Coturnix japonica: one gene and its partner. Each later gene encodes a partner of the first gene's protein in a complex. Links are inferred from orthologs where the notes say so. Each region holds a gene or a part of one and is shown on either strand. Other genes may lie near its edges.

The links. Proteins that work in one complex are often made in the same cells at the same time.
Region 2: the proteins of GPR161 (region 1) and GNAL are in contact, whole or in part, in a cryo-EM structure (PDB 8KH4), measured with the Homo sapiens proteins. The link is inferred for Coturnix japonica from reciprocal best matches to the Homo sapiens genes GPR161 and GNAL. Residues at the interface, in NP_001254539.1 of Homo sapiens: Arg125, Ala128, Val129, Leu130, Pro132, Met133, Tyr135, Pro136, Met137, Ile139, Ile211, Val214, Ala215, Lys218, Ala219, Lys267, Ala268, Thr271, Trp327, Asn328, Lys329, Arg332; in NP_001135811.1 of Homo sapiens: Ala41, His43, Lys203, Val204, Phe206, Phe363, Cys366, Arg367, Asp368, Ile370, Gln371, Arg372, His374, Leu375, Gln377, Tyr378, Glu379, Leu380, Leu381.

What each region holds. Positions count from the first base shown.
Region 1 is NC_029516.1:75,372,633-75,378,410, forward strand, and holds the end of GPR161 (G-protein coupled receptor 161), read left to right. Parts: intron 1-551; coding exon 552-683; intron 684-1,686; coding exon 1,687-1,934; 3' UTR 1,935-4,225; downstream 4,226-5,778. UniProt on the Homo sapiens protein: Key negative regulator of Shh signaling, which promotes the processing of GLI3 into GLI3R during neural tube development.
Region 2 is NC_029517.1:87,709,326-87,715,308, forward strand, and holds part of GNAL (guanine nucleotide-binding protein G(olf) subunit alpha), read right to left. Parts: intron 5,532-5,983; coding exon 5,477-5,531; intron 3,989-5,476; coding exon 3,915-3,988; intron 2,548-3,914; coding exon 2,489-2,547; intron 2,240-2,488; coding exon 2,119-2,239; intron 1,623-2,118; coding exon 1,492-1,622; intron 1-1,491. UniProt on the Homo sapiens protein: Guanine nucleotide-binding protein (G protein) involved as transducer in olfactory signal transduction controlled by G protein-coupled receptors (GPCRs).

The DNA.
Region 1 (5,778 bases):
TTGTAATAGGCTTTGGCACACTGACCCTACAGTCTAAACATAACTGCATCAGATGGTTTCAGCTTGTGATTGTGTCACTACTTAAGATCTCTCAACAGAAGGTAATTTGGAAAAGGGAAAAAGAGTTTTGATAGTAACTTTCTATCCAAAACTGTAACTAGATTTTTCTGGCAATGATTTCAGCTACCACTCCTTAACTGTACTGTCATTATTTTAGAGTAGTTCTGTTCTATAGACACCAGAGGGTGATCTTTAAACAATTGCTATCTCTGCAGTTGAGCGTTTTGGAGCCACTTGAGGTTTTATATTGCTAATGAGAAAAGAATTGCAAATTTTTCAATGAAATCTCCGACCTCATTCATTTTGTGTGCAGCATTTAATTAAAACTAAAATTTGCCTGCAAAATCTGGGTTTAGGCATCTTTTGGAGGAACTATTGCAGACTGAAAAGATTTGCCAGCTCTTAACATTCTGGTTTCTCTTTTAGTGTGATTTTATTCTCGTATCTGAGCATTGCTCCTTTTCCCTTTGAGAACACTTGCTTTGTTTCAGGAACAGACACGATGCTCCTTGAAGACTATAGCTCAGATGGCCCTTCTCTTCCACACTGTGTCTGTCCTCCTAGAAGAAGGAGTTCAGTGACATTTGAAGATGAAGTAGAGCAAATTAAAGGTGGGCTTAGGGGTAAGTATGAAAACGCTCAGAACAAAATACCTTCTTAGGAAGCCTCTCGGGACCTTTAGAATTGCCTGAGCCTGTATCATAGAATCACAGAATGGCCTGGGTTGAAAAGATTCATTGATCTAAATAGAATTGAGTTTTTTCTGTTTTTGTTCTTAACTTTCTTGACTGGGCACGTTTCTCAGTAGATATGGCTGGAAATGGATGAATCTGCAACTTTTTTTTCAGTCAGCTCATGTTGATCCTGCGGTAACAAAGTGTTACTGTGGGGACCTGTAAGTGTTGTGAGGTTAGCTTAAGGTAGGCTGATAGTTGTGGGAGTGTAAGCTAGAAGTCTTGGTCATGAATGACTGAATTTACTGAGTAATAAGTTATTGTGGTCAATGCACAAATGAACTGAGTACCTCAAAGCATCGAGTACTGATAAAACCTAGCTCACTTTTACAATTAGGAAATAATAAGAGCGCACATAGATCAGAATCATAGAATGGCTTGAGTTGGAAGGGACTTCAAACATCAGTTAGTTCCCTCCTGTTGTGGGCAGGGCTGCCACCCACCAGCTCAGGCTGCCCAGGTTCCCATCCAACCTGGCCTTGAACATCTCCAGGGATGGGGCACCACAGCTTCTCTGGGCAGCCTGTGTCAGCATCTCACCACCCTCTCAGTGAAAAATTTCCCTGATATGTAATCAAAATCTCCCATTTTTAAGTCTAAAACTGTTCCCCCTCATCAGATTCAGAAAAACATTCAACATGCACTTGATTGGAAATTAAACACACACGTATAAACACTTTGTTTCATCAGATTACATTTTTTTTGCCACCTGAATTGGAGGGAATCTTTCTCTACTTAACCTGTGTTTGAGCTGAAGCTTTGAGCTCACTGGATGGTTTGTAAATACTGGGTGTTCTTGGTAAATGCACGTTTACAAATGAGTTGATATTGAAGCTTTTGCACGGCCAGGCTGTCTGTTCTTATATACTGCTCTTTGTTTTTTCCCTTTCAGAAACCGCAAAGAATTCTGTTCTTCACGTAAAAGCCGATGTTCATAAATCTCTGGACAGCTACGCATCCAGTTTAGCGAGAGCTATTGAAGCTGATGTGAAAATCAGCTTGTTTGGGGAAGGTGCTTTACCAGGAGCTCTGTTTCCAGTACGGACTCTGCCGGGAAGCGGAATGAACACCCGGCGTGGCGTCAGGCCCCATGCCAGCCAAAGGCTTCAGCTTCAGAGCATCGATGAAGGGAACATTTGACAGAAGGAAAATAACTGAATGAAACCACTAAGCAGGACCTACCATGTGTGTTACTGTTTTAACAGAAACAGGATACCTCGCTGGGATGTTTTCAGTGTTTTTTGAGCACTTGAATGTCAGTTGAATTCTGGTACTTGCATCAGCATTTTGCAGCAGTATTTACTTATTGTTTAGGGTGCTATTGGACTCCTTTTTGCCACATCTTAAGCCTGTCATGCGGAGCATAGGAACACAGAGTTTGGTTTTGTCCATTGAATCACATTGTCTCGTTTTGGCCATAGCTGACACAGAATGAAAAGTATGTGCAGTGTTTAATAATTGTAGCGATCCTTTTCTGAACATTCAGATCATCCATTTGTACCTGATAGCTCAAGTGTTCTGATGAGAGCTTATACATTAGTTACTACGTGCAGCCTTACTGTCAAGATTCCCAAATAACAGCATGGATTTCACTAAGGGACAACAGTTGAGCTTTACAGGGAGCTCATATACATTATGATTCTTCTTACCCTTGCTAGCAGATATTTCTGGCCACATGTCAGACTGCTAGGTATGAAACCTAATTGCGTATTGCTTCTGCTTAATGAGACACCAGCTTCTCCATATGCAATGGGTGGAAGCAGGCCAGCATTGGAAGTATCACAGAAGTATTAGAGAAAGACAGCATTGCAGAGTTCTTAGTTTCTTTGAGAACCGCAACTCTCTTCCCTGCTTTTGCTTTGACTAAAAGACCACCCTACAGCTTCAGGAATCTTGACAGGACATAAATAAGTTATTACCACTTTAATAATATGTGCAGGATTCATCTTTTCTATAGAAGGAAATTCTATGGGTTATTTTTTAATGTAGAACTTCATAGTTACCTCAGTGCGTATATTTTTCATTAATCTCTAAAATAAGACCGTTTAGCACTTACATTGCACCTTGCACATTCTAAGCACTGTACGGAATGTACCTTGTTAGGCCTGTGTGAGAGGGCTCATCAGCCCTGCTTGCCAAAGAGGAATGCAGCAATGGTTGAGCCAGAAATGAAAGCAGCTGCAAGATGGAAAGGTTTGTTATGAAAAGAAGAATGAAATGGATCTTATGAGAATACCCAGCGTGAGGAACCTCCCTGTGCCTTCCTAGCCTGGACCTTTTCTTCCTTTATGGAAGTTACTGCCCTGCCTTAATGTTTATTTCAAGGAGATGGATCAGTAGATATCCATTTCTTGAGTCAGTTTCTTGTGTGTCAGTAGCAAATGGACTTATGGACCAAGGGCTGGATTTACTCTGTGTCTATTCTCCTGCTTAAACTTGCTCAAAGGCACAGGAACAAAAATAAGTTTTGAGGCAAAGCCTCAGGTCTGTACTGATTTTAGACATCCTTTTGGTCCATCTTCTCAACTCAGAAATACATTTCAGCACAAGCTTACATCTGTCTGTGGATAGAGCAGCCTATCTTTGAACTAGCCTCAGTCCATGACATTCCCACATAAGATTTAATTGCATGCTTAAAATTCAGTACATGGTTTGCTGATTAAGAACGGGCTCTTAAAACAAGAACGCTTAAGTACCGTAAGATGGCTCTTTGAATAATGCAGAATGAAACGAGCTGTGGACTGGATGGAAAGCTGATGTTCTGAGCAGCAATGGTGTGTACCAGCTTCACACTCCTGTATTTTTTTTCACTTTCTGTGTGTTAGGTATGTTGGCACTTTGGGGCACTTCAAAATCCAGATCCCACTGTTTGCCAGGAAATGCCATGCACTGAGGTTGTTATTGCTATCATTAATACTGCAATTGCAGTTGTTCGTACTGGTCAGTGCTCCTTAAGGTACGTGCTTCCCTCAGAGGGCTCAAAGTGTTCTGTCTGCATCCCTTTTTTTTCACATTCCTGCTTCCAAACAAGTTGAGCTCAAGTGTCTGTGAATGCAGAAAGGGCAAAGGTGGGTGAAGACCGTGCTAGGCCAAAACTAGAAGGGTATTTAGGAGCAAAAATTTTCATGTCATGTATGAATGCACAAAATCGCCTGTGTTTTGTAAAAAGGACATTTCTCACAATGACGCTGAGCCACATTCAGTCTTCAGGCTGTTCACACCAGCACTGAATTGGGCTCTCAGTGTTCATTTCACTAATCCATTATTTAGTATGACCGTTGTTAATATTTTTGCTAATGAAATTATAGCCTCTGCGTATTTCTGTTATCACCAGCATCACTTTGTCATAAGTTAACGCAGTAATGCACACAGTTTGTACGATTGTATCCCCCTGTCTTAAATACAGAAGGAAAAAGTTTCTAATGGTCCAAGATGTTTGTTTATAATTAATTTGTTTATAGTTGATTTTAAATTAAAGCTATTTAAAATGCTTTCATGTAAGAAGAAATATATTGAGCTTAGTGTATGAACTTGGCAACGCCCTCTGGTGAAGAACATATCCCTGTGTAGGAAGGCTGTGTGGCGAGCCCTAGGCTCTTGGAGACTCAGGAGGAACACGAAGCTTAACAGTAAGGCAGCTTTCTCAGCTGAGAGGCATAAATCGGGGCTTCCTTTCTTATTTAAAGACAAGGCGTGTTATTATGGACACACAAGCGAAAATCAGGCGGTTTTTCGAGAGCTGGAGAGCCTGAGGAGACCATAGGGGAGCCGGCAGTCCCGCCCCCTTGTCCGCGCCAGCCAATAGCAGCGCCGCTTCCTCCCGCCCTGTCGAAAAGATGAACTGAGCGAGGGGCGGAGAGAAGTCAGAGCGCCGAGCTGATTGGCTGTTCCGTCTCGTTTGGGCGGTCCATCAGCAGGCTCTCGTTGTGATTGGTCGGTTTGCAGGGAGGGGGCGGGGCTGTTGTGCGGCGATGGAGGCGGTTGTGTGCGCTGAGCACGGTGAGGGGCGGCATGGCAGGGAGAGGTTGGAGGGAGGTTGTCGTTGTCGTTGTGGTGTCTAATTCATCTCGCTCTCCGCCCTGCAGGCTCCCTCTGCCTTCTGAAGACCGGCACCCGCGATGGCCCCAACAAGGGGAAGAGCTTTTACGTGTGCGGGACGCAGGCCCCGGCGCCGTGCGGCTTCGTCGTGCCGGCTGAGTGCGTGTGGGGACCGCGGGGCTGAGTGAGCTGCAGGCCTTGGGGTGTTGGATACAGGGTAATTGGGTGTCGTGACAGGAGATCTGGGCTTTATTTTCATCGCTAAATGGTCTTTGAGAAGATTCTCCGAGTGTTTTGTCCCGAGTCAGTCTTGGGGCTGTCACTGTATCTTTGATGGATTGTGTTTATTCTTGTTTTCCTCGTTTCAGCGTTCCTCCTTCGTACTGTTTGGTCCATGAGGGGTGCATGGTGGAGCTGCAAATCCTGGTTGAGCAGCAGCTCAGAGATGAGTATCAGTAAGTTCCTCCATTTGGAAGCTGAGATTGGCTGTACACATGTGGATATCTGGAACTGTGTTGGGATGGCTGACCTGCACGTCCCTTCTACAGCTAAAACATGGCCTCTGCTCTTGAGGCCTTCGCTTAGTCTTTTCAAAATGCTCGGGTTTTTTATTAGTGAATGGGACCCTGGGCAGCCTGATCTGGCAGGTGGCAAACTAGCTTGTGGCTGGGGGTTGGAGCTTGATCTTTAAGGTCCCTTACAACCTAAGGCATTCTGTGATTCAAAACAATTCCCCCGTATCCTAAGGAAGTATATTCAGAGAATGATAATTGGGTAGCAAGCTTTGTTACCATCATTCATGAGTTTGGTTTGAAAGACTCAACGTGAGCCAGCAGTGCACTCTGGCAGCCCAGAAAGCAAATGGGATCCTGGGCTCCATCAGGAGAGGGGTGGTCAGCAGGGATAGGGAGGTGATTGTCCCTCTCTACTCTGCTCTTGTGAGGCC
Region 2 (5,983 bases), on another chromosome or scaffold:
TAGCAACTCGATAGAGAAATTAAAATAATGAATATCCACGGGACACTCTGGATTCATAACTCTAAAATGGAAGGGTACTATCAAGTCTGAAATAAACTTCTCAGCATTTGGTATCTCTCAGGAACCTGAAAACTGCTGATGTTTTTGCAAGTGTCGTTGCTCACAGGTGAGGAGGTTTACTCCCATCCATTCAGTTTGTAGTAAAAGAAGTGGCAGCTGGGATTTATCTTTATCAGAAGATATGACTGGAAGAACAGCTCTCTAGCTTGTGCAGCATGAGAGCCCCTCTGGAACAAAGATTCTAAAGGCAGGACTTTGAGTTTAAAAACATCATAAGATCCAGTGCAAGGTTACACTGGAAGAAATGCCATAGCATTACAAATGCTTTTTAAAAATGTATTTTTCTTCCAGGCCCCACGTGGGCAGAATACTTAGATGTACTGCCACTTAAATATACAGAGCATCCGAGATTAAAACCTTGTTGCACAGGAGACTCATTACTTGGTACTGTCTGTAAGTGGGTTATGACATTTCTGTCTACCTCTGCATGTACCCAAAGTGTGAAAACTAAACAGTGCAGGAAAGAGAGAATCTATTCACTTCCCTTTGGTGTGGTTTCTCCTTGACGAAGATACCACATCAAATGCTTATAAGCGTAATGTGATAAAGGACAGGATTTATCTGAATATGGAAATTTTTTCTACTCTTATCTGGAGCAGCAGGGGTAAACAGAGAGCAGCTGCATAACCAGCGGCATCTTAGAGTTCAGTGCTTCTGTCCTTAAATGACATTGTCTTAAATTAGGGGAAAAATGAGCAACCATGGGTTAAAGACAGAGAGCTGCTTCATGTGTGGATATTCTGGATCACTCAGGATTATGCACTGCAAAATCCTGCTAAGAAAAATGAAAAGCTACCTTATTCGGGCAACTTGCTTACTATGGAAAATGTTCCTTTTAATAATTTACCCAAACTCTCAGTTTTTATGGGGTCTATGCTTGGTACAAAGAGATTCATGTGACAGTGACCAAGGATTTCTGAAACCCTTAGGGTTATAAAACTAGTGTCTGCCTAGCTCAGATTTGGGGAAAGTTTATCCTCTGCACTTCAAAATCGTTATCACACTCTCAGTGTTTCAGCTTAAATGGAAGTTGCACACACCTCATTATTACCTTTAATTCTGTAATCTAAGCTGCTGTTGATGGGAAAAGGAGGATGTAAGCTAGGTCTTTGCCAGACCGCCCAGCACCCAGAGCATCCTGAGGCTGGGGCAGCAGTGGTCCATGCGCTATGACCTCGGAACCCACCGATCCCCACTCAGCAGCACAGGCAGCACAGGATGGAGCAGCCGCCTGACCTCACACATGCTGAACAACAGCACGTGTGCATTTGTGAATTTGCATGTGTGTGTGTGTGTGTGTGAGACAGAGGGACAGGCTATGGAATGGGCTATCCCAGCTTGCCAAATCCCTCAAGTGGTGAAATATCTTACCATCCTCAGGTACAGTGTAATGCGCGTATTCAGGAAAGTAATCTTCAATTTTTGACTTCCCCGCCAAGACTTTTTCAGCCAGCATGTCCTGTTTATTCAAGAACAAAATGATAGAAATGGTCCGTAACCACCTGTCAAAAACAAACCAAATGTTTGGGTTATCTCCGACACATTTATCAAAGGGAACACATCAAACCAATGGAAAATGCACTGGTTGTCCCTGTGTGTGGTGTTTATTTAGAACTCGGTTAAGAGAAAAGAAAAAACGGAACTGGAACTATTATCTCCATGACTACCTGGGCTGATAGATGTATTTATAAGATCTGTGCATACATTTCTAAAATCTCCAGTAGATATCACTGAAATGAACAGCCTTACAACACAGCTTTCTAAACTTAATTTCTGTGTATTGGTATTATTTATTCGCCACTAGGAACAGATTCATATCACTATTTGTTTACACATCCATGCATCACTCTGGCCACTGTGGGTGCACCGCATGGCCTGGCCCTGCCTTGGGCATTTTCTGAATAGTCAGTCTGACCACGTGCTAAAAGAAATCCAAATCTATAGGGAGTGGGAATGTCGCTGAATTTGCAGTGGGAGAAGAAAAGAGGTGTACTTTACCTATTATTCCAGATACTTTTGAAAAGGTCCAGGGATTCCCGTAGTCTGTTTGTGTTATTGTCTTCCCTTATTACCATGTTGTAGCTGCTGCAAGCCACAACAAAGATTATAGCCGTGACATCTGGACAAGGCACACAGAAGAAAGAAGGGAGAGAGAAAGGAAGTTTCTGTTATCCCAGCACATACTCCTCATGGTAATATGGCCATTACTCCCCTATTGCCCCAAAGGCCTCAAGAAAATATTTATCAAATTGGACTTCCGTATTAGTGACACACTATGTTCTCAGCGTAAGTAAAAAAATACGAATGTTAAGCTGCTCACTCTGCACAAAGCAAATTCGTAATAAAGATGTGGAACATTTCTACTTACCGTTAAAGCATTGGATCCATTTTCTTCTCTCATCTCTTTGGCCACCTACATCAAACATGCTGTTAAAAAGCCATAGGATGTTATGTCACTCATGTGCATTAGGAAAGTCACATGAAGCATGCATGCAGCACAAGGGTTCAGTTTATGAATCTGGCAGCTTTGAGAATAGTGGCAGTAAAATAACTGCCTGTAGGGAAGAGAGGTTTGCGGCTGCCGTGCTGCATGCCAGAGCACTGCCCCATTCCACCTGCCCTGCTTCCCCTGGGAGAATCATGGAATCATTTGAGTTGGAAGGGACCTTTAAAGGTCGTCTAGTTCAACTCCCCTGCATTGAACAGTGACACCTACAGCAGATCAGGCTGCTCAGAGCCTCATCCAGCCTGACCTTGGGATGTCTCCAGGGATGTGGCATCCACCACCTCTCTGGGCAACCTGTTCCACTGCCATACCAGCCTTACTGTAAAATACAGTAAAATCTAAACCTGGGATCATTACTGTGGCCCTCCTCTCAATGCACTCCAACATGTCCATATCTCTCTACTGTACTGAGGACTCCACATCTGAACACAATACTGCAGGTAAGGTCTCACCAGCACAGAGCAGAGGGGCAGGATCACCTCCCCTGACCTGCTGGCCATGCAGCGCAGTATACAGTTGTATTTCTGCACTGAAAGGGCACACTGCTAGCTCATATCCAACTTCCTATTCACGACACCTAAGTCCTTTTTGGCAGGGCTGTGGTCTACCCTTTTGTCGCCCAGCTTGTACTGACAGTGGGGTGCAAGAATACCACCAAATCCATATAGTGAGAAAAGCACTGGCCTTTGTCATGTAGAGAAATTCACATGGTATAGACAGTTGGGGCTACTGTACTATGAACAAGCAGAGGTTTCATCATCTTTGAAGTGTGGTAGAGAGAGTACATGCATTCAAGGAGAGGGACACAAAGGCAGCTTGTCCCCCATCAGCACTGACACCTTGTTGGATGAGAACCAGTGTGGAGGTAGCCTGGCAGTACCTCAACAGAGATACTGCGCAACACAGAGCTTGCAGCTCTCCAGACAGAGAAGAAAGAAGGATATACTGAACTCTGTCCCAGTGTTCAAACTGTGTCTTGTGGAATGACACCATGTTCTGCGAGATCTCACCCCAAAAGTATGAGTTGGCAGTGCTATCTAAATGAATGAATTAGTAAAAATGGCCCCACAGCAGAGCAGCGCTAATACGTGACTAGTACCACCTTTTATTTTTTCAGTGAAGTATAAGGGAATTTTACTGGGATCCAGGGAAACAGCTAAAAAACCCCAACTAAACCAAACAACCCTGATATTCACCCTATGCCTGATTACACCAGGAAGACATGAAAACAGACATCTGAGTTGTTAAGATTAGTAAAACACTCATAAACCATTACAAAGAGACTTACTGGAAATTTACTTTGTCTACTTGAAACCTTGTTTCAAAAATCCCTGATGTCAAAACTCTGCATCGTAATAGGTCCTGAAAATGAGAACATGGAAGCTGATTAGTTTCTTTTTTATTCTAATTTTATTTCTAAATGTACGCTATAGTATTTTCCATGAAAAGGTACGTTCCATTTAATTAGAGCTCCATCAGACTTGCTGGTATACCTCTATGTGTCCATTCTCACACAGTAGATATACAAACATCATATTTGAATCTAGCTTGTGAATACCATATGCACGCTCTTTTTAGTGCACACTGGTATCTATTATTGGCACACAATTTTATATGTGACGTGGATAATGAATTCTGAAGTTACATAAAACTAAGAAAATACGTTGCCTTGTTGTAAAGTCAAGTACTCAGCTGTAAGAAAACTCCAGATTTACAGTTGCCCAGGCAACATTAATTCTGCACTCCTTTGTACTGAATGAGACAGGAATCCTATCGAAATAATAGCTTGTGACTAAGTAATTAAAGCTCTATTACAGTGCACAAGGGAACAGAATCTAGGTTGCAGGTAAATCTGGCATTCCTTTCTTATTTTTCATGCTAGCAGTACTTTATAACTTAAATGGCATTTTCTAATAATTAACAAACAATGATTTCCTAGGTTCTCAAAGGAGGCAGGCAGAAGCAATTTATGGTGCACATCTCAAGTAACCGGCTCACTCTGTGCCATCACCATCACCAGCAGTTTTTTAACCTTGACTACCCAGTACTGCTGCTGGAGGAGAAGTTTTCTGCCTGTCAAATACCAAAGTCCTCTTCTGATCTTTGGAGACAAAGGACATTTCTTCCCAAAGAAAACATCAAGAAAAATTTTGAGACAGCTGAATAATGAAGCCACTGCCAAATCCTCCTATGATGAATGACTGCTCAAGGTAGAGAAAGACCCTGCAAGAACAAACAGGGCAACACTACAATAAATAACAAAAGGAAAAACAAGGCTTTGCTTTGATGACGTCTCCCTTCAGCAGAGTGATACTGATGCTAACGTCAAGGTCTACATGGAGTAAATCTTAACGCAACCACTTTTGTTTGAAAAAGTATGGAAGGCTTTAATAATTTATCCTGTATCAGGTCGACTACAAGAAGCCCTAAGGCCTGCTGCTGGTGCTCCCCCTGAATTTGGACACTGGACACCTCTCCTTCTTGGCTTCCATCACTTCCATCACTGAAATACAATACAGGTACTGCATGGCGAAGGCTAGTGATGGAAACTGTAGGCTTCTACATTTATGTTTTCCGTTTGCTTTGTTTGTGGGACACAGAATGGAAAGCAAGGAGAAATAACAGATGTATTACAGGAATCACGACCTACATATAGCAACAGTAAAACACAAGCCTACAACACTGAAAAGCTTCTTCTTCTTTAACATCTATTATTTAAACAGCTAGACTGCATTTTGTAATTATGTGGTTTGCTGCATTTCAGCTGCTGTTTGGACTAAACCAAATTACACAAAGAATCTGTATAAATGGGTGTCTTGGTTCAGCCCTTATCACATTAATTACACTAACCTGATCTGTGGGTGTGTAGTCATCCATGCTGACGCTGTCGATTCTTTCTAAAAAGCTGGAAGAAAAATAAACATGCATTTAGATACGTAAAATCCTGTCTAGTACAGCACATTTTCAGTACCTTTTCTGGTTTAGATTTCAGCTGCAAAGTAATGCATCAGTGAAACGTTAAATGTATGAACCCAGAGCTTTACTTATGTTGCTTGTGGTTCTAATTTCTGAGCCAAATAGCTTTTCACCCAGGCACTGCTTCAACATAGTGCTTTTACACTTATTGTTAGGTAGTACTCACAGACAGTCCAAATGCAGTACAGTGTCACAATTTGGGAGGTCCACTCAGAAAATACTACATCCATCTGATGTTTCCCCTGAATACAACTACAGCTTAACAACTTGAAAACAAAACTGCATGATGTGGAGGTTAAGTAGTCTGGCTCCTCACAACACTCAGTCCAAAACTCAGTAAAACGCATATGCTGAACTAGAAAAAGAAAGGGTACCACATTC